Kluyveromyces lactis: one gene and its partners. The protein of the gene in region 7 purifies or fractionates together with the protein of the main gene of each other region. This does not show direct contact. Links are inferred from orthologs where the notes say so. Each region holds a gene or a part of one and is shown on either strand. Other genes may lie near its edges. The genes, in order: RSM18, MRP51, MRPS5, MRP2, MRPS16, RSM26 and RSM22.

Evidence for each region.
Region 1: the proteins of RSM22 (region 7) and RSM18 purify together in Saccharomyces cerevisiae (affinity purification with mass spectrometry; 3 studies listed by BioGRID, with this or other methods). This does not show direct contact. The link is inferred for Kluyveromyces lactis from reciprocal best matches to the Saccharomyces cerevisiae genes RSM22 and RSM18.
Region 2: the proteins of RSM22 (region 7) and MRP51 purify together in Saccharomyces cerevisiae (affinity purification with mass spectrometry; 3 studies listed by BioGRID, with this or other methods). This does not show direct contact. The link is inferred for Kluyveromyces lactis from reciprocal best matches to the Saccharomyces cerevisiae genes RSM22 and MRP51.
Region 3: the proteins of RSM22 (region 7) and MRPS5 purify together in Saccharomyces cerevisiae (affinity purification with mass spectrometry; 7 studies listed by BioGRID, with this or other methods). This does not show direct contact. The link is inferred for Kluyveromyces lactis from reciprocal best matches to the Saccharomyces cerevisiae genes RSM22 and MRPS5.
Region 4: the proteins of RSM22 (region 7) and MRP2 purify together in Saccharomyces cerevisiae (affinity purification with mass spectrometry; 3 studies listed by BioGRID, with this or other methods). This does not show direct contact. The link is inferred for Kluyveromyces lactis from reciprocal best matches to the Saccharomyces cerevisiae genes RSM22 and MRP2.
Region 5: the proteins of RSM22 (region 7) and MRPS16 purify together in Saccharomyces cerevisiae (affinity purification with mass spectrometry; 3 studies listed by BioGRID). This does not show direct contact. The link is inferred for Kluyveromyces lactis from reciprocal best matches to the Saccharomyces cerevisiae genes RSM22 and MRPS16.
Region 6: the proteins of RSM22 (region 7) and RSM26 purify together in Saccharomyces cerevisiae (affinity purification with mass spectrometry; 3 studies listed by BioGRID, with this or other methods). This does not show direct contact. The link is inferred for Kluyveromyces lactis from reciprocal best matches to the Saccharomyces cerevisiae genes RSM22 and RSM26.

The regions. Positions count from the first base shown.
Region 1 is NC_006041.1:408,458-412,433, forward strand, and holds RSM18 (mitochondrial 37S ribosomal protein bS18m), read right to left. Parts: upstream 1,825-3,976; coding exon 1,357-1,824; downstream 1-1,356. Other genes in the region: protein kinase PKP1, read left to right, coding at 1-1,223; KLLA0_E04577g (uncharacterized protein), read right to left, coding at 2,054-2,440; KLLA0_E04599g (uncharacterized protein), read right to left, coding at 2,725-3,102; KLLA0_E04621g (uncharacterized protein), read left to right, coding at 3,552-3,976. UniProt on the Saccharomyces cerevisiae protein: Component of the mitochondrial ribosome (mitoribosome), a dedicated translation machinery responsible for the synthesis of mitochondrial genome-encoded proteins, including at least some of the essential transmembrane subunits of the mitochondrial respiratory chain.
Region 2 is NC_006042.1:88,129-92,447, forward strand, and holds MRP51 (mitochondrial 37S ribosomal protein bS1m), read right to left. Parts: upstream 2,083-4,319; coding exon 1,024-2,082; downstream 1-1,023. Other genes in the region: imidazoleglycerol-phosphate dehydratase HIS3, read left to right, coding at 134-799; KLLA0_F01012g (uncharacterized protein), read right to left, coding at 2,644-4,314. UniProt on the Saccharomyces cerevisiae protein: Component of the mitochondrial ribosome (mitoribosome), a dedicated translation machinery responsible for the synthesis of mitochondrial genome-encoded proteins, including at least some of the essential transmembrane subunits of the mitochondrial respiratory chain.
Region 3 is NC_006038.1:1,001,756-1,006,114, forward strand, and holds MRPS5 (mitochondrial 37S ribosomal protein uS5m), read right to left. Parts: upstream 1,938-4,359; coding exon 1,053-1,937; downstream 1-1,052. Other genes in the region: cytochrome oxidase assembly protein SHY1, read right to left, coding at 1-672. UniProt on the Saccharomyces cerevisiae protein: Component of the mitochondrial ribosome (mitoribosome), a dedicated translation machinery responsible for the synthesis of mitochondrial genome-encoded proteins, including at least some of the essential transmembrane subunits of the mitochondrial respiratory chain.
Region 4 is NC_006038.1:936,698-940,330, forward strand, and holds MRP2 (mitochondrial 37S ribosomal protein uS14m), read right to left. Parts: upstream 1,403-3,633; coding exon 1,055-1,402; downstream 1-1,054. Other genes in the region: Rho family GTPase RHO1, read left to right, coding at 1-426; DCG1 (Dcg1p), read right to left, coding at 1,690-2,520; MET16 (phosphoadenylyl-sulfate reductase (thioredoxin)), read right to left, coding at 2,978-3,633. UniProt on the Saccharomyces cerevisiae protein: Component of the mitochondrial ribosome (mitoribosome), a dedicated translation machinery responsible for the synthesis of mitochondrial genome-encoded proteins, including at least some of the essential transmembrane subunits of the mitochondrial respiratory chain.
Region 5 is NC_006042.1:2,518,677-2,522,500, forward strand, and holds MRPS16 (mitochondrial 37S ribosomal protein bS16m), read right to left. Parts: upstream 1,383-3,824; coding exon 1,020-1,382; downstream 1-1,019. Other genes in the region: CIP1 (Cip1p), read left to right, coding at 1-494; mRNA-binding protein RRP12, read left to right, coding at 2,106-3,824. UniProt on the Saccharomyces cerevisiae protein: Component of the mitochondrial ribosome (mitoribosome), a dedicated translation machinery responsible for the synthesis of mitochondrial genome-encoded proteins, including at least some of the essential transmembrane subunits of the mitochondrial respiratory chain.
Region 6 is NC_006041.1:116,817-121,089, reverse strand, and holds RSM26 (mitochondrial 37S ribosomal protein mS42), read right to left. Parts: upstream 1,279-4,273; coding exon 517-1,278; downstream 1-516. Other genes in the region: putative DNA-dependent ATPase RAD55, read left to right, coding at 1,886-3,127. UniProt on the Saccharomyces cerevisiae protein: Component of the mitochondrial ribosome (mitoribosome), a dedicated translation machinery responsible for the synthesis of mitochondrial genome-encoded proteins, including at least some of the essential transmembrane subunits of the mitochondrial respiratory chain.
Region 7 is NC_006041.1:1,030,745-1,036,194, forward strand, and holds RSM22 (tRNA methyltransferase RSM22), read right to left. Parts: upstream 3,321-5,450; coding exon 1,131-3,320; downstream 1-1,130. Other genes in the region: KLLA0_E11661g (40S ribosomal protein eS27), read left to right, coding at 534-779; SRP102 (Signal recognition particle receptor subunit beta), read left to right, coding at 3,617-4,390; KLLA0_E11727g (uncharacterized protein), read right to left, coding at 4,538-4,783. UniProt on the Saccharomyces cerevisiae protein: Mitochondrial ribosome (mitoribosome) assembly factor. Binds at the interface of the head and body domains of the mitochondrial small ribosomal subunit (mt-SSU), occluding the mRNA channel and preventing compaction of the head domain towards the body.

The DNA of each region.
Region 1 (3,976 bases), about 620 kb from region 7:
CTAGGAACAGATGCCGGTTCTTTTCAGTACATCGGTCCCCATTATTCAATACACATATTAAAAATGATGAAAAGACTGTATCTTCCCATAACCGCCTTCATCGTAGGAATAATCATCGAAAACGGAGCAAAGAAATGACCGAGTTGAATTTCCAAGAACTCTATCATATTCGATCAAATATCCAGCATTTGATCCAAGATTATTCTTCGTATGAGATTCCAAAGATCGATTGGGCATTTCTTCTGCAATATCGTGGCCCGCTTCAGGATAATGAGAAGTATTTCCTCACGATTAAGACGTTGAACCTGTTATTGACGTTGACATGCCATAGATTGGCATCTCTACAAGAATTACCTTATATCGCTTTAGTGAACCCAAATATTGAACAATCTAATCGGCTTTATTTAAAAACTTTAGAATCACTTCTAAGCATTGAGTATCCATACGATCTGTATGACACAGATAAAATTCAAAATCTTACAGAGGAATTCTTGAATGATCACCAGGATACGTTACTTACGTTATCAAATGGGTTGCAGGAAGTGAGCCGTTTTTATGATCCAGAAAACATATTCAAGTTTTTGAATAAGCATTTACATGACAGAATATTGATGAAGTTGTTGACTACCAACTATTTGAAGCTCTTGGAACAGACTTCTTCCGATGAGGTCATTGGCGTCATCCATAAAGATTTGCATATATCTGACTTAGTTACAAGAACGAACGAATTTGTTAACGATTTGACATTTATCAAATACGATAAGACCGTTCCAGTGAAAATTATGGAAGGGTCTGATGTGAAATTTTCATATATACCTACGGATCTAGAATACGTCCTTCAAGAATTGCTTAAGAACAGCTCGAGAGCACATATTGAAAACAACGTTGACAAAGATGTGGAAGTAACAATAGTGAAAAACGACGATCAACTTGAGATCAGAATCAGAGACTTCGGAGGCGGTATAGATCCACAGGTAGAAGACCGAGTCTTTGATTATTCTTTTTCCACAACGGTGAAGGAAGAGAAGGACAGCGGTATGAGCGATTATGTTTTACCTGGTCAAGAAGTCCAAAACGTTGCAGGTATGGGATTCGGACTTCCAATGTGCAAAGCGTACCTAGAGTTGTTCAATGGTACACTTGACATTCAGTCATTGTGGGGATGGGGTACTGATGTTTATATACGATTGCACGGTCCATCGGATAGACTATTCGACAAATGAGAACACTGTACTATCATTCAGTCCCGGAGCTTTCCATTGCAACGTGTTTATACTGTTAGCGCTATTTACAGATATAATCCTATTTATTGAGAAACATATATTCATATATACAAGAAGTTATCACATGTCATGATTAGCTTCTGTTTGCAGTTCTTTGAGGAAGCACCGATATGTCTTTGTGAACCTTAGACATCAAACCTATTGCTTGGCATCTCTTAATAGCCTTTGTTAGACGACGCTGGTTCTTAGCCGATAAACCAGTTACATCTCTGTGTAATATTTTACCCGTTGATGTCACAAATCTTGACAAGAACTCTGGGTTGGTGTATAAATCAAGTGGATTGATCTTCAATTTGTTGAATGGGTCAAACGATCCAGGACGTACCCCAAACTTCTTATCTAAATGTATTCTTTCTAAGGAGAAATCAAATGGATTGTAAACGGAGCCCGGCTGAAAGTTTTTGATTAACTTGGATTCTAGCTTCTTGATTGTGGGCTTGCTATTAGCTTCCGACATACCTTCTTTCAGAAGTTTTTGGTCAAGACTGTTGCAGACATATCTTGTGGTAGAAAAGAATCTTGCGCAGCTGCGGGAAAACATTTCTTCTGATGTGTTTTAATTTATTCAATCTCTCGTTAACAGGCGTAGAAAGGCCCGAGCGACTTGGTTGTTTTCCTTCTCTTGCTTGCTTAATATTCATGTTATTGAATAAAATTTTCCATGTTGAAAAGATCTCTAAATTTCAAAAAAAAAGAGATTGAAATAAAGGATACTTAAGTCATTGCCAGGCATTCAACCTTTTTCCTGTTGTCAACCCAGTTTACGCAGATCAACCTTGGAGGTGTAGCGCGATTGATCGGAAAGCTCTTGCAGGAAGTCGGGCATCCCTGTGGATCAAACCCGGCGCGCTCCAGCACCTACAGGCCGATGCAATCGGCCTCCTATTCTTTGACCTGGCCAAAACTGATGATCCGTTTGCTGGGTACCGGCGACGGTACCGCTGAGCGCTGCTATGCCGGCAGTCAGGTTGGTTATAGCCAGCAAAATGGAGCCGAGTGCCTACCCAGGTCAGCGGTGCGTTGCGCTTGGTCACGTGTGAGATTTCGTGTGCCAGCATCGAGGCTAGCTGGCTTTCATTGTCGGTAACCTGCAGCAGTAATGGATCTTTGATCAGCGGCGCGCTGGCGCGCTGCTGCCGCACGTAGAAATCGCCCATAGCCAGCCGTGGGCCACAATCAAACGTTTACCCCAGCTTTTCGGCAGGGTCTTGATTCTTGGCTGGATCTGATGGGAATAATGAATCAGTAAATAACTGCGATTCTGAACTAATTCGAGGATTTTATCAATATTGGTGTGATTTCCAATGTAACATCAATTCATCTATTATCAGTCAGTGTTCTATCCGCTCTGGTGGTTATTCAGGTTAAGTAGGTTAACATATAAACGTAACAACAAATTAAAAAGCTGGAAAATATTACTACTTTTCCAGCTTTCAATCCATTAATCGTTAAATACAAAACTTTCTTCAGCTAGATTGTGGTCTTTTCTATAACTCTCGTCCAATATTAAATAATCATCTGGTTGTTTAGAGCTTACTCCTTTCAACCAAAACTGTTCACCGTAAGCTATCAGCATTGCCCAATGATACTCAAGTTCATGGCTACGAAGACATACTGCCAGATAACTATCAATGGGCTTACATACTAATGAAGACGATAAAACCATTAATTCAGCCTCATCTTCTTTTTTATTTGCATACTTAACGATAATTGCTTTAAGCATTTCTACCCAAGTATGGAAATTAAAAACAACTGTTTCTTCAGGATCATCTTCGTCTTTAAAAACAACTCCATCAACAATTTTATCCTTATTAATCATTATCGACAACCTCTAACTTTAAATCTATCAAACAGCGCAGCTGCTTTCTTTCTACAAATAGCAAGTTGTGTCTCTTTAGATCTAGGAATGGCGAGGGGGGGTTAATAATTCTATTAATTGTATCAATTCTAATAATGATTATATTTATAGTTATTTATACTCATATTATACTTCCGCGTCTCATTAATGTAATATTAATGAGGCGCGATTTGATTTTGATGAAATTAATTAAAAAAATAGAGAACTAAAATCAAGGCACAGACAAAGATAAGTACACGCAGAACCGCATCTATCTGGTGGACGTGAGCCAGGCAAATAATAAACTTATCGAGGTTTAAAGGAAGATTGGTATTGCCTATAATCTTAATAAAAAAAGAAGTTACAATTCAGAATCAAAATTTAATACAGTTTGTTAATATTCAGAAGTGCCTTAATTAAGTTAACGAATTATGTTTAGTAAACTATCATTGAATAACATAACTGATTCAATCAGTAATGCCGCACAGCGTACTCAGGAACAATTTTCCTCTGCCATTGAAAAGATCCACTTGGATGATCCTGAAACACGTTTGTCCATTTTGAAGCGTAGACACCAACTACAAGAAACTTTGGGAACAGTGCATGATATCAGTCAACTACCAATTCAGTATAAGTTTTTGGAACAAAAAAGTGATGCCTTAGAAAAGATTTGTAAGAGATTGTTATTGGTAACCAAAACTTTTGAAGTAGAAGGATATGATTACCCACCCAATTTAACAGAGTCATTTAACGATTGGTGGAGTGGGAATAAGGATTCCATTTTCTCTTTCAGTAAGAAAAAGGCGGAAGTTTCCCCTGAAGTGAAGGAAACTGCAGAGAATGGGTTATTGCCAAG
Region 2 (4,319 bases), on a different chromosome or scaffold from region 7:
ATATTGGAAGAAGAAAGAAAGTAACTGGCCTCAACATTAGTTTGTGTACTTATAAGAAGCCTAAAAGTTGCTACCATCGTTCATATTTGGCACATTTTGTAAGAATTCCTCGAGAAAGAACTGTCAACCAAAAATGACTTATCCGGAAAGAAAAGCTTTTGTTTCTAGAATAACGAATGAAACCAAGATTCAAATTGCCATTTCATTGAATGGTGGACCAATTTCTATTGAGAACTCTATTTTACAAAGGGAGGAATCCGATGCTGCTAAGCAGGTAACTGGATCCCAAATCATTGATATTCAGACAGGCGTTGGGTTTTTAGATCACATGATTCATGCTCTTGCGAAGCATTCAGGCTGGTCTTTGATTGTTGAATGTATTGGAGATTTGCATATCGATGACCATCATACCACCGAGGATTGTGGTATTGCTCTTGGCCAAGCCTTTAAGGAAGCTTTGGGTCATGTTCGTGGTGTGAAAAGATTTGGTTCAGGATATGCACCATTAGACGAAGCTTTATCACGTGCTGTTGTGGATCTATCCAATAGACCATACGCAGTAATAGAGTTGGGGTTGAAGAGGGAAAAGATCGGTGACCTTTCATGCGAGATGATACCTCATTTCTTGGAGTCCTTTGCTGAAGCCGCGAGAATAACTTTGCACGTTGATTGTTTGAGAGGCTTTAACGACCATCACAGAAGTGAATCTGCATTCAAAGCACTTGCCATTGCAATCAAAGAGGCTATTTCAAGCAACGGAACCAACGACGTTCCTTCTACTAAGGGTGTTCTAATGTAAAATTCCTTTTCAAGAAAGGAGTGGACTCTCATTGCATATGCGCGACATTCATTTTAAGTTTACATCAAATATATATTCATCCATTTTGTTCCATTTAAGTTACGAGCACGGCCCTTAACCGCTTGACGCACAGCTCCGTCTTCCGCGTAACATGACTGTATTTATTACGTTTTATTTACAAGTGACTTCTAGCTATGGTTGTGTAATACCTACCATATATCAACTTACATGGTTGTCTTTAATAAGTTTAGGAACTCTTCACTTTGAGATCTAGATTCTTCGGCGGTGACAGATCTTACAGTTTTTCTTGAAGAGTTTCTGGAATCGGATCTGGTATAATGTGATCTGCTTTGACCTAAGCCGATCTTCTGAGCAAAACTGAAGTCATTTCTTGGTTCTACTAAAGATGCAGACAATGTTACATTACCCCCTTCTACCTTTGGATCTTCAATGGCAAATGGTAAAACTTCTTGTCTGACAAAATCACCCATGTTGTATTGTAGAGCACGAGGATTACGGCCCACAGATTTAGCTTCAGCGATGAAACCACCAACAGCGACTGCGCGATCAGGTCCCTGGACAGATAAAACTCTGCCTGGCACAACGTGCTTTTGTTTTACACCATTTGGAGATTGTCTAAGTCTACCTTTCAAGTTGTAAGTTAGACCACCGGTGCCCACAATGTGCCACTCCGAGTTAGCTGCTGTATTAATATTCAACTTTCCCATCTTTTCATGTAAGAATTCAGTAGCTAAAGCCTTCAAAGGTCTGGTGTTTTCATTTCTAACACCAGCAATGGAATCCGGGTGTTTCTCTAACAGCCACTTCTTGAATTCTGATCTGTGTTGGTCAATTTCTTTCAACTTTCTTGTCTTTTCAGAAGGCGCAGTGTTATGAGCAATGTTCACAGCATTGCTGAATGGCGCGTATTTTCCGGCCCTCTTGGTTTTCCCATTGAATAGAGGATTGGATTCTTCTTCAACGTAACGAGGGGCTAACCCCATTTCTTGGAATCTGATTCTGTTCCACTGGTATTGACCCATTGGTTCAAAAGTCGTTAGTCTTTGTTGGGTGTCCAAATCGTTGTAAACCAAATATCTGGTCTTGATTTTCGATGGAATGCTTGCCTTCAAACCCCATTCCTGACGATATAAGGAGGATGGCTTGGTCTCAATCACTTGATGAGTTGGATGAGAAGAGTTACCTGGACGAAACAATGGCTTGTCCGTCTTTGCCACTTGTGCTATCCTGGAATTTTTTAACAAATTAGATATATGGGACATAGCTTTCTATTTCGAATTGTGAATTCAGTAAGTATATCTGTCTTCAAGCTAAGGACTAACAGCCCAGTTTAAACCCAAAAAGTGAATTATCTATTCAACGAATTGCTGATAGTTTTGGAACCTTGTCACAATAGTCGACGATAGGAACTAATTTAGCTCTTCAGTCAAAATCAGTAGCTGAGCTGTGTTTAAGATTTATCGAATTGAATGCTATTCAATGATATCGAAATTTTTTTATCATTAGAAACGTAACATTTTACCCGGACTTGCGACAGACCATTGATGAAAGTGTCACATTTAGTACTCATTTTAAAGGAAGAATGGTTTCTTAAGTGATGCTAATATTTAAAACGAGATCAGCACCAGTATAACATAAGTCTTCTATGAGGGGTTTCCCATAATCAGAAATCGGTGTTGAGTTTAAATTTTTTTTTCAATTGCATTATTTATTATATTGTTTACTACAGAAAACTATTCATTTTTTCGTAATAATTTCATATCAACAGTTCCTTGGTTTAGTCGATACTGTATGAGAACCTCAGTTTCGTAGAAATGTTTGTACTACTTGACAAGGTTATCAGATAGTTTCGAGCACATGTCTCCGCTATCCAGAAGCTCAACAAAAACTGATTTTTTTCCAGTAACCTCATCAACACAGTAGATGTCACGATCGGTCTGAATGTCAATCTCAGGTGCTCTAATAAAAGGTTTCCAGTTCCCTGTGTAAGCTTTATGACCAAGGTAAAGTACGATGGTAATTGGAACAGCCATATAATTTTGAAGGAATGAGACGACATTCAGCCTACCGTTGGATTCTAAAGGAAACAATGATACCCAAAATTGTACTATCAAAATAATGGCACAAATAAACAACGAGATGTAACTGCCATATACACCACATGGTGATTGATATCCTAATTGGTCTAAAGCTTGATCTTGATCTTTCATTGCCTTTCTGAATCTCAAATGAGACACACAGGTCATACTCCAAGTAAAGATAGTGGAAAGACCGCTGATTGACAATAACCAAACGAAGACTGTTTCCTGGTCCTTATATTCGGCTATGAATGAAAATAAACCAGTAAATGCTGAAACGCAAAGACATCTAAACGGCTTACCACTTTCATCCAATTTACAAAAATATTTCATCGCAAATCCTTGTTCAGCTAAGGAATGTAATGTTCTTGAGCTACTATACATCGCATTGTTTGCGACAGAAATAATAGACAATAGAATAATTGCATTAACAATATGAGGTATTATCCTAACACCATTGGTTGTTAATGCGACCACATATGGAGATGCATGGGTCAGTTCTGATCCAGACCCCATCAAATATGGGGAATTAAAGGGCACTAATAATCCAATAATCATCAAAGAAACGCAAAAAATGATGGCAATTCGTACAACAACTTGTATTGACGCCCTTTTAATACTTCTTGGCATGTCTTCTGTATTCTGTTCAGCACAACTCAAGGCGACAAACTCGGTACCACCGGTACTAAAGCAGGCAGTTATCAACGTTGCAGCAATTGACTTGAAAAGCCCCTCATCGTTTCTAAAGAACCCTGGACTATGGAAATATTTGAAACCCAAATATCCGCTAGTGCCGACAACACCAGTGTTAACGAAAATACCTAAAATTATGAACCCAAGGATCATAAGCACTTTCAAACAGTTGAAAATGCAATCAGCGTCCGCATAACACCTTGCACCAAAGAAATTCACCCCGCATACCAAGGAATAACATAATGCAACAACGATAGAAGGATTGATATTTTCGTTCCAAAAGTTGATAGTCATAGAAGCGACACATATTTCTAATGGCAAAACGACAGTCCAATTTAGAAAAAATAACCAAGAAATGGTAAAGCCCACAGACGGGTCTATGAAACGCTTTCCATAAGATGTAAACCCACCAGGCATACTTGGAAAAGCAACAACAAGCTCACCAACAGTTTGCATGCAACATGTCAACATAATACCAATAATTAAGTAACCAACTAAAGTACCACCAACCCCCGCAATAGCAATTGATCTACCGTTCCCCACTAATAAACCGGTCCCAATACCTGTTGCAGTAGACATCATGAAAACATGAAACGGTTTAATTGACTGTTTTAACTCATTTTTGGGAAGAGTAACATCAGCTGTAGTATCGATACTGTTCGTTCTTGTGGGATCTGAGAGGTTGGAAAAAGTTGCAACTTCTTTTAAACATTCTTCAGTCATTTTTT
Region 3 (4,359 bases), on a different chromosome or scaffold from region 7:
CTCTGTCATATCCTTAATATCCAAGACTTGCCACAATCTACTCTCCCTGTCTTCCTTCTTCCATTGCATTGATGTCAAATCTTTAGCTGCACGCACTAACACTGTAATTGTCACGTTATCGCCTTGAGGTAAAGACAAATGTTGCAAGTTACGAGATGATGGAACGATTTTCTCCTCCGAGATCCAACCACGTTCAATCAAAATTCTTTCTCCCGTATCCTTTCTGATGAAAGGCGTATATAAAACGTACCCCTTGATCCCTCCTCTAACACGGGGGCCGACAAAAATCTCTTCATCATGCAAGAATCTACCGGTCATAGTACACTTGCGGTATTCCCAGTCTTCGCACATATCCGGTGTAAACGTTTTAGGTAACGGAATAGGATCGTAGGTTAATTTGTCTTCGCAGGAAGCAATTAGATTGGTTTTCCATTTCAATCTTCTTAATTGCCAGGTTCCTAAGTAGAACGAGATCACGGGCATGGCAATCATCAGTCCTAGAAAAATACGCTTACCCCATCGTGATTCCTTCTTTTGAAATCCTTCAGTAGGTGTCTTCTTTGTTTTGATAGGTTTCCAGTCAACAGTCGATGTCCTGACCGTGCTATAAAGTCGTCTTACCGGCCTTACCTTTGGTACAGTGAATGGCCTAGCCACAATGAAGCGAAACATATGCTTTGCTAATTGTGTGATACTAGTAGCTTCCGCTAAGAATTGAAATGCGTTTGAACAATTAGTAACAGCAAAGAAGTTAAAGCTTTTCTAATCATGTTTATACGCGATTAGATATACTACTCATCTGCTTTCATCATCTTCATTTTCCAATCTTTTAAAGATCAGAAAAGTGTGAAATATTCTAAAAGTCACGTGAAGAAGAATTTGGAACTCCGACGTTGTGGGGATATTAATATGTACAAGGTTACGTAGATCTGAGTATTGATTGTTTTATGAGAATGATCATCTAGGTCGTAATTGAATCATGTGAAGGTTGTTCAGATAGTTTCTTCATAGGAGAAAAAGTGAAAGTAATTTAAATATGGAGTTGGTTGAAATCAAGCAGAGTAATATACCTTCTTGACATCCACAATTTTCTTACCTCTACCTAGAGCAATTTCATCTATAGATTTTTGAGACTTGGTGATAGCGTCTATAGTACCCTTGGCTATGTTCATGATATTTCTACTCTTGTAAACTTTTGCACTTAAATCTTTGATACCAGCACATTCACAAATTTCATAAATTACGTGATTGACTCTTAGACCGAAACCTGGCTTAGCAGCTCTCAAGAATAGTTTCACACCGTGGTATCTATAGTCTATGTCTTCAAAAATAGTTCTTTTTTCAAATCTAGGCACTTCTTTTAAGTTCCTCACTGCATCCCAATGAGCTTTCTTGATGGATTCTGCCATATCTTCACGGGATTTACCCTCACCGATTCCTACCATACCATTCTTATCACCAACAACCACAAGAGAATAGAAGGATGGAATTTTACCTTTTGCAGTTTGATTAGAAACCATCTTTAAGATCAATGGTTTCATCACTAGTTTTCTGGCGATATGTTGAGCATCGAACCCCGTCTGTAGTTGGATATTATTGGCAATGTTTTGTATATCTGATCTGCCTTCAGTTTGTAAGTATGAACCCACAGGAGGAGTCAAATCTGGATGCTTTTCCATCTCTTGAACGAATACCGAAGATGAGCTTGAATGTAGATGTGGAGAGTTTGGTTTATAATCCCAATAAGGATGTAATGTGGCAAAGTTATCCAAATATGGTGGTGAGAATTCAACATTTGTCTGTGGTTTGAACTCTACATTGTCAGGAATTACTTTATCAGCTAAGGAAATAGACTTGAGTAGTTCTGGAGAGTAGTATTTCTTCAACAGGTCTTGTTGAAATACACGAGCAGTGCTCGAGAAACAACGGACGAACATTCTCAAATACGATCAGGGTTATTGAGAAAGACGCTGCAACTCACTATGTTGAATTTTGCTCCTCGACCTGTCTAAACCTGCTTCAAAAGACTTCTGGTGTCAATTATATTAGACCTTATTCTGGTGTATATGTCTGAGTATGTTGCCATTCTGTATTAACTATTGAAATTTTTTTAATTTTTGAAAATCGATCAATCGTTACAAATGAGAGAGCATTATTCTTGATCATGTGATTAGAAATTCACAATTCTTAGCTGAAGATCCACCCACTAAGGTATGGTAAGATTAGCAGTGGTTGCACATCTTTAAAATCTTCTTCAGACGTTCAAAGGAGGATACATGGAGTATGTTTCAGGTATGTTCCACGCATCTTTACCCTTACATGGTAGATGACACTATCATATGGAATGCTATCCGGGTAACATGTTTTTTTGTTTCATTTCTGAGTCTGTTTCATCCAATATTGAGCTCTGTCGCTTAAACAACGACTTACCTGCTTTAATAAAGCCGGTCACTAAAACATCTATATTAGTGGTTTAGTATCGCTATATACAATTTCCAGAGAAGATCTTTTTTCAAAACACTACATATTCTTCTGATACATAGTGGAGCAACATGTTTCAGCTGGCAATGTTATACACGGGCTTTGTTGTCATTAGAATCAATATTAGTACCATATCCTTTCAGTACCTTAAAGATGAAACATTCATATCACGAAGACTCTTCTTTTAGGTATATATTTTACTATGTTTTAAAACCCATTTAGAAAGATTCTTTATCTACAGGAAATAATGAACTAAATACAAATAGTATTTAGTTATGCAGGAACATGAAGACCAATAGAATAAAGATGATCTGGTGTCTTGCCCTGCATGAAGAGAGAGTAATCCCAAAATGCCTGAATTTTTGAAAAACTGCAGATGTTTTCTTTCTCAATTTTGGTCCGAGAATAAATTCATATGAGACATACCAATCCTGTTGGTTCTCTTTCCAAATGAAATCAACTCCACTTATCTGACAAGATTACCATATAAGTTACTCGTTAATTTATATAAAAATATTGGAACGAAATACTCGTTCACATGGATGGAGGTAGAATCTGAAATCAATTCGGAAGAAGTTATGTTTTCTGGAACCAATCCCTAGTGGCAATGCGACATCAATAGTGATTTACTTGTGCGTCATGTGAAAATTCCATGCCGCAGGTAGATTGACAAACTAATGCATTTACTAACGCTACCCAGCAGTGATATACATATGGTAAGAAAGGAAACCACCTGGCCTTGCAAGTTTTCTTTTCCTCTTATTTTTCCTGCCAATACGTGCAGTAGCATTCTCTTAATATTTTCTCTAATGCAGCGTTTTCGTTCTCTGACAAGAAGTAATGGTTCTAGCCAGATCTTCTTCCTCGCATGAAAAATAAAATGCTCGACAGATACCAGAAATGACCGTTCCGATTCCAGAACGTTACACATTCCTCTTCTCCGTCACTTTAAACTTTCATTGTTACCCGAATATTATTATCTAGGTATTTTTTTCAGTGTTATCTGCCGGATTTGAGAAGTACTTGTTGCGAATATACTTTTTGTAATGACAAACAGACGTTGAACAAAGCTGTCTGCTCTTCGCTGTTTAAATTTTATCAATGCGAAAGCATACTCATGATTGATCTGGGATCGTAGTTTGGTTGATTGGTCAAAATTGTAAATTCTACTGTACCCATAAACTATCATATAGTGTGTCGGGTAGCAATTCACGGTGTCAGATTTTTAGGATGAGACTTGGGAGAACACAATTGCTATCAAATCCTTTAACAGTCCTCCTGACCTCCTTTTTATAAACATTCAATGTGTGCTGCACATGTTAATATGCGTTACGCTCAACAATCAAGTAAAGTCAAGAAGTTTATTTTTTGCCAGGCGGAAATGTTCAGCCGCTCCTCGTGCATAAAACGGTTAGCCCATCTATCTATCGGGATTGCGTCAGGATTATAAAAAGTAGCTTATGAAAGAAAAGTATATTATAGCTATGAGATCTGGTAAAAATGATTCATATTATCTACCATTCGGCATATCACAGGTGTTTCTGGTACCAAAATTCAAACCAATGTCATGCAGAAGGAAATAACTATAATAACGGTTAAAGTCCCTTCTAGTTACAAAAGTACGGCATCATGTTTTTCACTTTAATGTTTCGTTATGATAACTTCTACTTCGAAAGGCAAGAACGGACAAATATTATATGGAATATGAAAAAATTAGATACGACGAATTATTACAACTACACATGATGCAAAAGAGGGGGGGTCTAAATAACCCTAGGGCATGTGTACTGAAAATTGAAGTGAAAGATCTCCTACTACGATCCTGTTCCATTCTTTTTCTCAAACTTTTATTACTCTTCATATTCTATTTTGTAAGAA
Region 4 (3,633 bases), on a different chromosome or scaffold from region 7:
GCTGGCCAAGAAGATTATGATAGATTGAGACCACTTTCGTACCCAGATTCCAACGTTGTGTTAATCTGTTACTCAATTGATTTGCCAGATTCCTTAGAAAACGTGATGGAAAAATGGATCTCTGAAGTTTTACACTTTTGTCAAGGTGTTCCAATCATCTTGGTTGGTTGTAAAGCAGATTTGAGAAATGATCCTCAAGTTGTTGAAGAACTAAGAGCTCAAGGATTACAACCTGTGTCTCAGGCTCAAGCACAAGAAGTCGCTGACCAAATCGGTGCTGTTGACTACATCGAATGTTCTGCCAAGACCGGTTACGGTGTCAGAGAAGTCTTCGAGGCTGCTACAAGAGCTTCTTTGGTCGGTAAACAAGGTAAGAGCAAACCTAAGACTAAGTCTAGCAAAAAAAAGAAGTGTGTCGTCTTGTAAATAAAGACACGCACGCCCCAAACCCACTCTTCACCCCCTTATCTCCAACTTCATTTGAATTTACCTTGAAACAGAGGACTGAGCTTTGAGGATATTATTATTAGGCGATGGGAATTGTTTACAACCGTTAATTGGCAGAAGTAAAGATCCAAAAAAAAAGAAGAGGGAAGACGAACAAACCATATTCATTTGTTTCTAATTGATCAATTTTTAATATACAAATGTCAGCAATTAATTTCCGTTGAATTTCCTAATTTTTTCTCCTCGTTCTTTTCTTTGTTTCCATCTGGTTTCAAGTGACCATCCCTCCCTGACATTTTCTCTTCTACCTCTCTTCTGTTTTGTGTGTTTCTACCTATAAATTATTTTTATATACCTACACTCTTTTATTTTGTAAGAAACTTAAATATTATCACCACTATACTGCACTTTCTCATCTTATAAATGTCACTTGCTTTGCCACAACCCAAGCGCTTCTTTTACATTGATTAAACCTTGTATTTTTTAATGTCTATACACAAGCTTTATATATGTTGAGTTAATTAAAAATATTTACATGCATGCGGGAGAGAAAGATTCCAACTTTTACTAACCTCAGTATCAGGGAACAAAAGATGCTAAACTGCATCTACCATACACCCTTCTTCACACCAGGTAGATCACCTTTCCTGGCAAGTTCTCTGAATTGCGATCTACACAATCTGAAATCACTCAGAACAGATCTGGAGTGTCCCGTTTCAATACATCTGTTCTTGATTTGTGTCATTCTTGTATAGTTAGGCATCACAGAAAGTTGTAACTGAGCTTCCATTCTCGACCTTGGAGGTAGAGTAGTATTTCTAGCAATGAATTTCAATGCCTTTACAGTGACTTCATTGTCTGCAACTTGCTGTCTCTTGAAATTGTCTCTGATAACTCTAGCATTCAAATACGTTGAAGGAAGCTTTGTCTTGATTGGAAATCTGAAACCACCCATGTTGTTTATATCTACAGCCTTCCTTTGGATATACTAATTGCTAGGATAACTATCGAAATTAGTCTCACAGATACTGAATACGCCGAAAACCAAAGAATGCATCCACTAATGCTTGAACTTTATTCTTCATCTTCCGGAGAAGCTCCAAACTCGTTTTTTTCTCTTTCAAAGCTTGAAGTTCATATCATGTTAAACGTTCTTGATGGAGGTCACCTGACTATATTGGCACTATACACGTTATATAAGGAATGGAATGAACACAGCACCATGCCAATGGACTCCCAGTATCATGACTTCTTGATTTCAACTGTATCACCTCTTAGTTCTCTTGCCTTTCTAGCACTTGAATAAGCTCCTTGTTTGGATGTACCGTGTAATCCACTTCTGTAGACAGCCGAAACAATGTTGATCCCGCATACCACTCCGTCAATAATTGGCACTTCATAGCCATTCTGCTGTAAAGCGTTTGCAACAGCATTTTTCAAGTCGCTCATCCCTGCACAGCCCAAGATGATGGTGTCTGCGTGATATTCTTCTACTAAGGTCAAGGCAGTTTTAGACATTGTTTTATGAAGCTCAGCTTCTTCCACTTTGACCAAATCCGATACGGTTTTGATACCAGAACTTAACAATCCAACGCAAAATGTGGACATGCCAAGACCTGCTATGGTTTCCTCATCTCTTAACTGAGCCTTGTAAATTGATGCAAGAATACCGAATTTTGATCCAATGATCCTGGATGAGTACACGGCTGCTTCCACGATACCCATGCACACAACATCATCAAATTCTTCCCTGATAGATTTTATCAATGGATGGTCGCTAAAACATCCAACAAGTACACAATCGACTTGGTTTATTACATCGTAAGCATCTTCCATAACGGCAATTGCAGATTGAATACCATCGAGATGACCCTCAATCACATTGGGTGCCTTACCAAATGGTGCAGTGTACCCGTAAACCACAGTGTCTGGAGCTACATGACCAGCCAATATCTTTAAACAGGCATCGGTCATTGCTTGGGTTGAATTAGGGTTTACAAATAAGACCTTGATGAGCTCATCATCTGGTAAACTCTTCTTGTGCTTTACGAAAGGTAATTTAGACAACGACATCCTTGCTTGTTAGTGTCAGCTATGTTCTATGATTCAATATGTTAATCATCCTGGAATAATGAGCTACTTGACTCCTATCATACAGAGTTATATAAGTTTCTCTCTTTGGTTTATGTTGCTTTTCGTATCTGTCCGGACGCATGTTTTCAGAACCTTTGATTCATTTTTTCCCGGTTATCATAGTGTGAATCAGCCCAAAAACTTTAGGCTTTGACAGTCATGAGAATTGATGAGAGATTCAAGCTGGGGGTTTCTCTTCCAAGTTGCATGGGTAAGGTTCGCAACTGTTCATACACTTTCCACCTTAGTCGCAACATATATAATATGTACATTAAGTGACTAAAAATGTCACGTTGTGTATCTAAACTGAAACCATAAATAAAGCTAGATAAGAGATGCCGCATGCACAGTATACAACAGAAAAGATATATATATATATATATATATCAAACACATATCATTCTCTTTGTTTGAGATATTGTGCAAATCTGCTTGTCTCGTGAATCCCACATTCCGTCTTTGCCTTACCCTTCCACCTGCCTGATCTCTCATCCTCACCTTCTTGAACAGGTTGTGTAGAGTGATAATCACCAATCGACCGGTATCCTAGATCTAGCAATTCATTGTAAGGTACGTTATTATCACGGATATAACTTTGCACTTGGTTGAAGTCCCAGTTCGCTAGCGGGTTGATCTTGATGATATGATTGAATTCGTCCAATTCGATGAATTTCAGATTCGACCTTGCACCACCTTGACTCTTTCTTCTACCAGTGAATACAGCAGTCACTTGCAATTCCTTATAAGCTCTATGAGCAGGTTCCACCTTGACTAGGAAATCGTATTTATCATCGTCTGTATCCCATAAGAAATCACCGTATTTGGCAGCAAATTCTTGCTCCGAACCACAATCTTTCGGCTGATATACATTGACATTCTGTCCTCTTGGCTTGTAATACCGAGTTTCTACCACTTTCAAAAGCTCTAACGTCTGAGGGAAATGGTGCAATGTATCAATAAATATTAATGGAACGATTGGTTCTGTTTCATTTTGATTAATCTTAGAAAGCATATCGATAGTAGCCAACCCAGTTAAGCCAAACGCAGTGGTTT
Region 5 (3,824 bases), on a different chromosome or scaffold from region 7:
CCGAAAGTACAAATTCTCCACCTTCTTCCTTTACTACGAACTATTACACTGGTTTGAACTCGCCATTCGAATCTAGACCATCGTCGCAGCAGTTGCAACAACCGTTACAACTATCACAAGGCACTACGCAAGTTCCTCCTCAGAATCCAAAAGCTCTTGTCAGGTCACGAAACAATAGTTTCATTACAGCCGCTAGTAGATCAAGAAGTAACTCGTTCAAGATACACCCACAATTGTCAAATACTATTAGTGGTGTACAGCCACCTGCTCTTCCCAATCTAACAAGGTCAAGATCCTCTAGTAATGCTCATTTCTTTCTTACTCCAACAAATTCTATCCCATCCCAATCATCTTTCCTAGCACAATCAACCGCAAGCGTAAATACTCTTTTGAACTCAACTTCAAATGCTACAAATACTGCTGCTGCTGGTCAACAGCCTGATGAACGAAACAATAGATTACCCACACATATAGAAAATGAATCCAATTTATAGTTGCACTGGAACACAATTTGACTCGATGTAACATCATGAGCACTAATCTCCAATACAAACCTGAACATTACACCAAACATACCTATTAAATACTTGAGAAGTTAGACATTCACTCACTCATTCACAAAAACATAACATAAACCATCTTTTTGTTCTTGTAATTTTGTTAATATTTATGAATTTTCGGAAATCACATAGTTTAACAGTCAGTATTCCTCGATGATACTTCCCTCATTCAGGGAAATATATGCTGATGACGATTATTATTATTGTGTAGAATTACCTGATAGCATCTTATATATGGTGATATGTAAATTTAATCACTTCAATTTTACCGCATGGGGCCAAGCTGTTAAGTGTATGTAACTACTACATTGGTTTATGACCGGAAAAAGTGCCCGAATTCCTCTTATCAATTTAAGCCTATATACATGAGTTCTTGACCGTAAGAAAGCCTTGGGAGATGGTGATTTATGCCCTGATTATTGATATACCGCTTTTAATACAGTAATCGGAACAGCTGGTCTATTCTTCAAAGACTTCTTTCCTAGGTTCAATAACAACCCTACTACTTGTGTAGGTCTTTCCCCAATTTTCATCCAGGATTCCAGCTTTTCTCAATAGTCTTGTTACCGTATCACTAGGTTGAGCACCAACACCGATCCAGTATTTAGCTCTTCCGAAGTCTAATTCCACATCTTTAGTAGGAACAACACCTTGTTTAACCTCTTTCTTCGTTAATGGTTTTGGGATTGGGTTGTATGTTCCTAATACTTCAATTGGTTTCCTATTCAACGCCTTATGTTTGTTGGTAACAACTATGTTGTATACTGGGGTATGTTTCCTTCCGAATCTAGCTAGTCTTATCCTCACCAAACCTTTCGTCATGATTATTGTATTTCACCAAACTTGGCGTTAAATTCTGGTTTAAGAGACTTGGTTTACTCGCTCTGGTCGTCTTGATACATAATATGTTTGTCCTGTTATTACGCTTTTAATGTTGATTGAATTTTTTTTTCTATCTTTCGAAGGATTTTCAACACCAACTAAATAAAGCATGTCTATCACGTGATATAGGTGGGATATCTAACAGCCGTATGAGCAACATTCGTCTTAGGCGTTTATGGCGACATTACAGCCTAATAGTATAGGAAGTTGATCTATGAGAAAGTATCTATAAGTGAGAAAGTGTTTATTTACTGGAGTTAGACTGACGGTGGGAATTAGTTTACCAAAAATGCAGTCATATAAAACGACTTGGCATTACAAATAACATCGCATTCAGTAAAGAAAGTTAACGACACAAATAATGAAATAGTATGTTCTTGAACCCGTTTAGCAGACGCATATATACAGAGTTGGCATATATTAACCAAAATTTATTTACTTTTTATTCTCTGCTTTCTTCATTGCCTCACGATCCTTGCTGCTTCATCACTAAGGGCTTAAAAAGAAATTTTTCACAAGCTGTATAAAATTTTCAATCTAGCTCATCTCATCGCTCATCTCATCTAACAAGTAGAGACGAGTTATAATCAACAACACCTCAGAAAAGAGAATTACTGAGTTTAACTTGGGATTGAAAACTGACAAGCGAACAAATTGTGCAATATGGGTCCTGAACAAGCGTCCAAGCTTCTTGAACTTGAAGATAAGCTTGCTAAAATCAGAGGACAATCTACATCAAAACTAGAGAATCAGAAGCACATTGCCATAATCTTGGCTGCTATTGAAGAAAATATTAATGAGCAAGAGGCAATTAATAAGAACATCGTGAATTATCTTATTTCTTTGATGTCCTTGCTGGATCAAACTATCGATACAGAAACTGCGGCCATTAAAGATCTACAATTAGCAACATCAACGATGTATTTGTTGGACATCATTTTTCATTATACACCAAAGAAAATATTAAAGAGCAGGTTTGCTGATATTTTGATTAAAGTTGCCCCATGTATTACTGATGAAAAGGCTAACGCTCCTTTGATCAAATCCGCTCTTGGTTGTTTAGAAGCTTTGTTAATTGCCCAGGATACGCAAACGTGGAATAACACTCAAAATTTAAAGGTGACTCCAACAAGAGGTTTGGATGGTCTACTTGAGCTATCTCTAGATCCAAGACCAAAAGTAAGGAAGAGAGCACAGGATGCAATTACCAACATTCTAAAAAACCCTCCACCTGGTCCAACAGCAGAACACGTCGCATCACCTTTGATCTCAGCATTCGCTATTAATGCATTGGTATCCATCCTTGATGAATCTGCAACGATTTCCAATAAGAAGCTAAGAGCAATGGGAGGTGCAAGTGAATTGAACTCCAAAATCATTCATATTTTGAAACTTTTGAGCAATATAATATCAACAAATCAATGGCCAACTGCGCATGTGGAAAAACTCTGTGATCTGCTATTGGAAGTTTGTAAAACCTCGGACCAATTTTTGGTATCTAATTCTTTTAACTGTTTTGAGGTTCTATTCCAGTCTATGGCCGAGTCTTCAGTCTCATCTGGCTTAGCGGAGAATAAATTCATGAAAGCCCTTGATGTCATTTTTTCATTAAAACCATCCCAAAATGATACACATTTGGCAGCAGCCTGGATTGCAGTCGTCGCTAAAGGTATCAGCACATATGCGATTCACGATCCATTAAAGTGTTTTGTTAAGATTCCTGAAGTTTTCAGAACTTTATCATTTTACCTATCAAGTGAGATTCCAGATATCTACTTTAGCGCAGCACAATGTTTAATCGCTATTGTCACTGACGCAATCAAATCAGAAATTTTGTTGTATCCACCTTCCGTTTCCGCTGAGCACTTTGAAGCAGTTGATGAAGTTATTCAAGAGTTGTCTGAGATATTTGTGGATCTATTATCTATTAAATACACACATTGTGCTAAGGCAGTGTTAAATGTTTTGACGGCTACTTTCAAAAAGTTGAAATATAGAGCCAATCCAGATTTTATCAAACCTCTAGAGATTGTAGGCAGTTGGAGAACAGATGAACAAAACTTCTTGGACTTGAGATCCGAGGCAGAAAACGTTATCGGTGGGGCTATAGAAGCTATTGGTGTAGATGCTGTACTAGGATGTTTACCACTAAATTTAATTAGTCCATCTACATCAAAACCGGGAAGGGCCTGGTTGTTACCAATATTAAGAGACTCCATCCAGAATTCTACGTTAAATACATTTTTCAAAGAGTTTTTACCTCTTATCAAACATTTCGAATCTCAATTCGATAAATTTGGTAAAGAATCTGTTCAGTTAAAGGTATATCAAACTGTTGTAGATCAAATCTGGTCTTTATTGCCACCATTCTGTGATTTGCCA
Region 6 (4,273 bases), about 910 kb from region 7:
CTTCAAGAAAGAAAGAAAAACAAAAGATTAGCGATAAGCGGCTTTTAGCAGTCACAGAGTTGATTATCCATCGCCAGGTGCCTATTTCCTACTAGGAATTTTATTTAACAGAATGTACTAAACCTAACATTCCCGGCCAGTGAATATTATGATGGTTATTGCAAATACGAAAAAATAAGAACTCCTCATAGGGGGCTCGAACCCCTGACATTTCGGTTCCTTGCGAGCAATGCTTAAAAGCCGAACGCTCTACCAACTGAGCTAACAAGGACGAGTTCTCAAGTTCCTCAGAGTTTTGGAAGTATTTTATACTTGATGTTGAAGTTTTAGTTGAATACCGTTTTCCGTACCTTATCCGCTCTTGCCTATATCAACCAGAGATACGCTAATAATGAGAGAGGATTGTGAGCTATTCGCAAACGGTTATATTGCATTTGTGACTATGTACATGTAATTAAGACCCATATTTTAAAGAGAGCCAACAGTCTATTTATGATTGGAAGTACTGGTATACTCCTATTGTGTGGAGAACAATCTGTTGTTAACCGCAGACCAGTTCAAGTTATCTAAACACTTCCTTACGTAAGTGGATCTGCCCTTAATACCGTAATCATTCAAGTATGAATGGTCCCACAAACTGATCGCAATCAAAGGCATTGTCCAATCTTTAACGTCTGCATTTGCGGCAAGTAGATCTCTCATCGTTACAAACTGTTCCATTTCTTCTAAGGATAGAGCACTGTTCAAATCGAAAGATTGGTTTCTAGCAAAGTAGTATGGAGTACCATTATTTTGAACTGTTAGGATGTGAAGTTCCTTGGCATCATTTTCCACAAGGAATAGCCATCCTTGACCTAACACATCTTCTTCTGCATGTCTAACCATTTCATCCTTAAAAGCATCCCAAGTCATTGAATATTGTGATTCTAGCTTCTGTAGAAACTCACGAGATGGATGTGTAACTTGTTCCATAGGCAATATGTTTTCTATGAACAAATGGTTATTGTGCAAAGCACTAGCCAAATTGAAAATGTTTGTTTGGTATGATTTCTTCGCAGTGTGCAGTACTAAATGGAATGGCAAGTAGGATTCTGCGGCAGTTCCTGCAGATGCCAGTGTTAGCTTATCGCACAAAAGCTGCTGCTGGTCAACCCAGCAAGTTTTGAATGTGTTAGCGCTCATAACATGAGGGATGCCTGAATCCAAAAGTTGTGAAATACCAGGTATCTTTGGAACTGTGTGTATTCCTCTGAACAGTTGACGCCCAAACATTGACATTAAATATTTTTAGTTAGTTGCCTCAATTATATCAATCGTTCCGAAACTCTAGGAAGAATGTAAATAGGATGCATTGAGCAAGAAATAGTAGACTTTCTAGTTATGCATTTTAGATTCATGAATTGATACAAGTCGAAATGATTTCAATTTTTCCTGTTCGGCAATGTTGAATGCTAAGAAAAATTTTAAGATTTGAAATGTTACCCGGAACTCATTATCTTCTCTAGCTTAATGAACTAGACTAATAATCAATAAAGTCCAAATAAGATACACCCGTAGGATATAATCCGACAAGAGGTAGACAAGGAGATTCGTGGGAAGAACCTTCGAGTTTTTAATTTCAATTCTTTCAATGATTAAATTCAAGTATTATTACTCCCTCTTATCTTTTCTTATTTTATATTTTTGAATAACATAATCACAGCAAAAACCTGGTAAATAAAACAAACATTATTGAGCTGAGTTGTCTACGGACTTGATGACATTTTTTAGTTACACCTAAAGGTGAATTATGCGGATTTAAAAGGCTAGTTATACATAGTCTTGAAAGGCTTGAAGAACCAGGAGAAACTGTGGACGCGTTTGGTGATTAGTTGATAGCATTCTAATGTCATTTGGTGTACCTTTGTCTCAACTGATACAAGCGCGTGCAGATCATGTACGAAGTGGCATTGAGAGTTTAGACGATTCATTGAATGACGGATTCCAACCACAGAGTATCTACGAGGTTTACGGACCTCCAGGAATTGGCAAGACAAAGTTCGCGGTACAATTAGTGAACAATAATCAGAATAGGATGAAATGTCTGTGGATTGACACGTTCCAGCAAGTACCACTGAAGCTTATAGAGCAAGGAGATGAGGACGAAGTCCATTTCAAAGGGTGCCAATTCGCAAGAGTGAAGAAATTTGCTCAACTGTGGTACATGTTTCAGAATTTAAAAGAGACGTACGGGCTCATAATAATCGATGGTTTATCTCAGCTTTTGGTAGAGTATCTCCATATGTACGAGAAGAACAGTGGATATTCTAACCATCGACAGACCTTGCACGATTTCAAGGTGAAAAGTTTGATACAATTGCTTGTCACCATAACTAAATACGCCACTTCAAACAATACGGTGGTGGTATTACTTAATGACGCTATGAACACAGGTTACCAGGACTATTCAGACGATGCAGTTGTCTCATACAACGATCCCAGCAACGGAACCCACTCAGATGGTTCCTTTAGCAATTTCCTCGTGAAATCTCAACGGAAACGTCACGTGCAAGTGTTGAAGAGTGGATTAGTAGCAAATGCAGCCGTTGGAAGTAAAGATGCCCGTTGGGAGGTGTTTCTTCGATGCAGGATCGGTGTGTTCTGGAATTGGGATGCAGAACAAAAGCAGAATCCTAACTCCCAGAAAAGAATCATCCCCGAGGTATCACGGCAGTTTGTTGTACAACATCAACAGCCAGTGGGCTCGAAGAATAAACTGGTTTGGGTTAAGACTAATGAATCTGGGAACTTTTATAGCTGTCACACAACTATAGTCGCAGAAAACCCAACAACTGCTGTCACTGACAATCTTCTTCCTACGAACACTTCCTCAAGTGCGACAGCTGCTGCTGCTGCAGTAGCCGCAGCACCGGTGCTTCCCCCAAACAAGAGAAGACGGGTTTTATACACGGAGCCAAGTCCGAGCCGTATGCTATTAGATGTTCAAAGTCACAGTCAGCCCGTAACACCAAACTCTTCGCAATCAATCCAGTTTACACCACGAATCGTTCATTCAGACAACATTGTGGCAACTCATGGAACTGAAGGCACTGACAACGACGCTATCATATATGATAGTGAAGGATAGAACGGAACACATTACAAACAGGAAGCCGACCTAATTTTGTCACTTTTAAGTGAATAAAATATGCAACTAAGAATTGCGCCCTTCCTCCTTAGATACGGTCACGAGTGGTGCCCAATATATCTCACATTCGTCATCGGACGCTTTTCCAGGAATCTCCACGGAAACCAAAAGAGAGATCATGGAAATTACTAATGATGTGGTGTATGGGTGCATGTGTCTTTTTTTTCCATTTTCTCCTTCGAGAGATCCCCAAAGGGCATCAAAATAGATCTGACGTGATCTATGCCAACTTTAGTAATCGACATGGGACGGTTTTCATTGGCCGGTTTTAAGAGCTCTTGAACCTTGAATCCACTAACTTTTCTATTATTGGAATTCAAATAGGAAAAATTTGTTTGTTTTGCTTTTATTGTTACTGCTAGGTTTACAGATATGAATTTAACAAGCTAATCTTGTTTTTTACATGTTTCAGCCGTTCCAACCTGTCATAAAGTGTCAATGAAGGTTCTGAGGTGGAGCAATCTGTGATCGGCCCACTTAGCTCCATTGTATAAGCAACATATGTCCTTGTAGGTGTTGTTTGTAAAATAGCCGGCTTCCATTTTAATATGGCCAAACCGAATGCGGGTATGGAATTACGCAGAAACAGGAAGAAATGACTGGATAATTAGATTTTGCTTATTGTTTGGGAAGAGCCATTTGAGGGATGACGGCTTCTATTTTGAGGGTTTCTGCTGTATCTGCGTACAACTCCATTTTTTGTTTACTATTCTCGATTTTACTTAATTGGACTAAAGTGGATATTTGTTGTGACAAAGATTGTTTCTATTATTGTCATGTTCATCTTTTTTTTTTGGTATGACAGTGCTGCAATGGAGAGGGAAAAAATTGCGTAGATCTTGTGACTAAAATAAATTGCCAGGTGAAGAAAGCAAGGGGATAAGAATAGCGATATGAGTGGGCCGACTGAAAAGTATATAAGGCATTGGTTTGTTTCAAGAGTTTTAGAATAATATATCCCTTCTTCCACTTTTTTTTCCTGTTGAATAATCTGTATTGTTATAGCTGTAACATCAGGATTCACTATTGTATCTTCTAGATAAGCAAGAAAACTTACTATCGCTAACACATCGCGTTCATCAATAA
Region 7 (5,450 bases):
TAGAGATAGAATAAGAGGAATAATGGGAATATTAATAATAGAGAAACTCAGTTTAGAGAAGGAGAGAAAGAGATAATAAACCAAAGAAGAGTCCTGAACTCGTCTGTAATATGAAATAATGTTATGAAGGATGCTGGATATGGCCTCATGTTGAAATATGAATGTTTCCTTGCTCAAGGAGATAAGATGAAAGACAGACGGAGACAGAGGTTGTATGGGACTGTACAGGAAAAGAAGAAGAAATACGACCAGAGACGTTGTTCGGGCTGTCAGTACAGTGGATTTCTGAGATATTATACGAAGGAAACGCATTTTGGATGAGATGAAACTGTGTGTTCTCCATCAGTAAAAATATAATGAAAATACTATTCGCCTTCTCATTTCTTTTTATTGGGCGATATGTGATGCACAAATATATGGGTTGTCCATGTCAATTTGTTGACTGCCCGTATTTTCAATATGGAATAATTTTTTACTAACAATAACACATTCATGATGGCATTCTATGTCTATCGTATATCTTCTTTTAACAGGTTTTAGTTCAAGATTTGTTGCACCCAACCGCTGCTTCTGAAGCTAGAAAGCACAAGTTAAAGACTTTGGTTCAATCCCCAAGATCTCACTTCTTGGATGTCAAGTGCCCAGGTTGTTTGAACATCACTACTGTGTTCTCTCACGCTCAAACCGCTGTCACTTGTGAATCATGCTCTACCGTCTTGTGTACCCCAACCGGTGGTAAGGCCAAGTTGTCTGAAGGTACTTCTTTCAGAAGAAAATAGATTAATCACTTTCTATAGCACACCAATAATTTTAACATAAAACGTATTCATTCTGTTGTACAGTTACGAGTTGACTTCTCTTCTTTACACTGCTCTTTATGGTCCGTGGCGCCTGTTTTATTTGGCATGTCATTGACAATGTGATGCTGGTGTAGTATGGTATATGTATTTGGATGTAACCACATAGTAATATACTAGAACGTTATGTCTTCCCTTTAAAGCTAAAGTAAAATTCATATTTGAATTAAAATAAATAAATAAATATAATTGACCCAGTGTCTTTCTTTTATAATGGGATGTAGTTATTAGTTATTTACAAGAAATTGATTTGTTAACCCTCCGCTGGAAGATTTAATACTCATCCACTGCCAATTTCCGGTTGGCATATTTCTTCTCCTTCTTTGCATTCGATAACTGGAAATTGTGCTCATGGAATTTAGCTAACGTATCAACAGCTGATTCGGGATCCATATGTTCTCTTTCATTGTCTAATTGATTTGCCATGTCTTTCAATTCACGTGATTTTGATTTCACAGCTCTCTTCATCTTCTTGATCTTTTCCTTATGCAGTTTCTCAAATTTATTTACATTTAAGGCACCTCCGCCTGCTAGTTTCGTCTTTGCATCTAATGTCCACAAATCTCCCTTTTGAGTCTTTCTAGCATCGTGATATATCTGTTTGTCTAAGGATTTTGGGACAATCCACTTCTCAAATTTACCAGATGGTGCGCAGAGATCGAGAATCACATGTCCTTTTCTCTTAGTAGGTTGTTTAACGATTCTAGGCCACGTATTGGCAGTTTCATCTCCCAATGAGCCAATATCGTACTTAATCTTATTTTCTTCTCTTTCACGATTTATTGCTTCAGTCGTGGCTCGATCTTTTGAAGATCTTTGGGCAATCAAATATGAATAGTTTATAATCTCAAAACTCTTACCATTTCTTCTACCTGAGCCTGGTGCAGATTTCCCCTTGATACCGATACCATCAGTTGGAGTTTGCCATGGTGCAGCAAGCACTTTGCCCTTCTTTAATTCAATAGTAAATCTTGGCCTTAGTACAGTCTTTTGGAAATTACAGAAATTCAATTTCGAACCTTCATCTAAATCGTAATAATGAGGTTTCCCTATCTGTAATGGACATTTTCTATGGTGTGAACAAGGTGCAACGATCTTGATGAAATAACTTTCTTCATCACTAGATGTTCCTCTTTTGGAATCTTCCTTTTCAATGGCTTCAAGAAGTTCTGGTTCGAATTCTAAATCTTGTTTGTTTATTTCTCCATATTTGGCATCCAAGTTTTCCATTAACTGTTTATATTCGTCATCATTTATGTTTAAGGATTCAAGTGTGGGCTCTTCGTTCTCAACAGGCACTGAACGATAACTGGTTCTGCCCATCATCTTATTACCTCTATTCCAGGGTCTTGGAATCTTCCCGTGTTCTTCAGGATATTTTTCAGGTCTGATCATGAACTGTCTTGCCCTTGCAATAATCTCAAAACCCATTGGATTGCCCCTTTCTACTATAACTAGATGTCCGTTCGGGGAAAGAAGCTTCAAATAATGATCCAAGTTGTCATCGATTTGGGCTGGGAATCTTTCCTGGTGTCTTAAGAGCTGATGAGTTAGGATGATCAAATCGTATTCGTTGGAACCAGGAACATCTTTACGCAACCTCGTGTTAATATGAATACTCTTCGTAGCTACTTCTCCCAACATCTCGTCATCTCCTTCGATATTGTCAGCTTCTTCTTCTTTCGTTTCGACATTCTCAGTGGGCTCTTCTTCCCCGTATAACATGTCGTCTGGAATTTCATTCAATTGTCTACTCAAAATTATTTTTGCCCTCTTTTGCATCTCAATATGACCTATGATAGTGGCTTCTTTCACTCTGGGTCTGTACTCTTTTCCCATTAAATCGTTCAAAGCAACAATACCAGTGGCTGGCCCATAACCAACATCTAATACTCTTTGAGGATTGAAACTCTCCCCTACCCTTTTCTTAAGTTCTGATAAAGATTGATATATGGCAGCATAATTCTGCACAAAGATTGATGCGATATGAGAATCCACTTCGATGTTCGATGATGTAGGTCGATGAAGGGAGCTTTCGTATAACTCCACGAAATATTTGGATGCGGCTCTTCTTAGATTACCAGGTATATGTAGAGACATTATGTTGTTCTGGATTGCTTGACTCATCACAGACGGCAATTGGATCTGATCTCTCAATACCCGTCCTTCAAGAGTTTTGGGTAGAAGTCTTGCCTCCTCTGCATTTTCACCTTGTAAATGATTCCCATTTTGATCTCTGTAATCTCCTTTAACCTTATCCGAAAGCAAATGATCTCTCTCTATAACTATTGCGTTATCTTTCTGAGAGTCATCAACAACAGAACCAAAACTGGTTGGCGCATTATCTCTTGTAGATGCATCTAAATCATTAACGTTAATCGGGAAATCGGCCAGTGAAGAGTACCTTGACACAGGAATACGAGTGAATATTCGAGGGCTAAGCGTTCGACTGCAACGTAACATATTGGTAGCTTCTTGTCTGGGCTGGTGTCAGTCTATCTATGTTTCTCTATCCACTGAACGTCGCCATCTCATCGCATCTCCAACTGATTTCTCATACAAATTTACAGAATGGTTTTCAAATCTTTTTTTTTTTCTTTTAACTTTTCAGCCTGATAAATTTGTTAAACAGTTTAAAGTCAACATGGACATATAGAGACCCGGTGATTTCAGTTAGGGTTGCTAGTTCTGTGAGTTTCTGTTGCATCTGAAGACTGTTTCTAGGGGCTTGAACATCGAAACCGTAATATATATCGGCAATGTTGTCGACACCAATTTTACTAGCATGCATTATTGTTATGATCAGTGCAGCATTTGTGCTGATCGTACAAAAGACGAGTGCCAACGTGATTCCTGGTGCTTCTAAATACACCAATAGAGCGCCCACTTTCATCATTGCAGGCTTGCCGCAAACGGGGAAGACTGCATTGTTCAATTTGTTAACCACAGACTCGGTCAAACCATCGGTGATGTCACAAGAACCCAATGTGGCTGAAGACTACATGTTACCAACTAGTCATAAGAATTTCAAGTTTAAATTGATCGATTTCCCAGGACATGACAAGTTCCGTTCTGAGCTGCTCCAAACCATCAAGGATTCGAGTCAATTGAAAGGGCTCATTTATGTGATTGATTCTACTATTAATCCTAAGGAATTGGTCAGTACTGCAGAACTATTGTATGAAATATTATCTGTCACCGAATTAAGACCAGACGGAGTTGACATCTTGTTGGCATGCAATAAATCTGAGTCATTCGTGGCAAGACCTCCATCAAAGATCAAGGGTGCTTTGGAGAAGGAAATAACTGAAATCATGAAGAGAAAGGCCAAAAGTTTGAAGGCAAACTCGAAAAAGTCCTTGAGTGACGATGCTAATGACGATGATGACGATGAGGTTGCTGTTCTTCAACAAAACTCAGCCGGATTCGAATTCGATAGAATTGATGGGAATGTAGATGCTAAGGAGGGAAGCGTTTTGAAAAATGATATTGATAAGTGGGAATGCTGGATTGATGAACGTGCAATGAATTAGGCGATCTGCCTTGTTGCCTTTCAGGAATTTTTTTCCCATATTCATATATAGCACATTTAATAAAGCCATGTAATGAACTGTGAACGATTGCGATTTGTCATATCCTTTTCAGCCTTGTTGTTTGGTCATTGAATTTGAAGTTAAAGGTTAAGTATTGGTATGCGTTGGTTTGTCTCTTGTCTTCGGTACATCACTGCAATCATTCCATAACATTACAGCAACTGAGGTTCCAACGATTGAAGTTCCAAGTAGTAACAGTAATATAGGGATTCCAACTGCATATTGGCTAGATAATGGGAAAAGTGACACTTTTTGATCAAGATCAAATATAGGTAACAGTAACCAAACACAATAATAGATAAAGAGTGCTAAAATAATAGAAAAGGTCTTCATAGCTGCAGATATTAAAGTTCAAAATAAGAGCAAATGATCCTATTACAGTATGATATTGTTGCCATTCACTTCATTCAGTGGTAAAGATGCAATGTTGATCTCGAAGTCAGAAACTTTTAACACTACAAGGTGAGCGCGAAGTTCTCACACGGTATCCATTCAATTTTCCAACGACATAAATAAAGGTGGAGTAAATGATACGAGAGGAGGAGTCTGGTACTGTTCTAACTTCTTGTTGTCATAACAGTTGCTCGCGTGGCGTAATGGCAACGCGTCTGACTTCTAATCAGAAGATTGTGGGTTCGACCCCCACCGTGAGTGCTTTATTTTTAACCACTTTTTTTTAACTTAGAGAATGAAACCGCTACATCAGATCTAACATAACTGCACTTCAATATCTATCTGTTGATAACTAGCACGAGAATATCAGCTGTCACTCAGTACTTACAATATGTTTTTCATCTTCACTAGTGGTTGTGAAGGTATGTTCTCGATTCGCAAATGATGGTTACCCTCGTTTTACTTTTACTGTTGATAATTTGGTTCCATTATTAAAAATTTGAAGTAAATAATAGTAAATAAAATAAAGATATACTGAATTTACATCAGTAGGGCTGATCTAGTGATATCATCAACTGGAAGCTACGAAAGCCTGTACTGGTCGAAG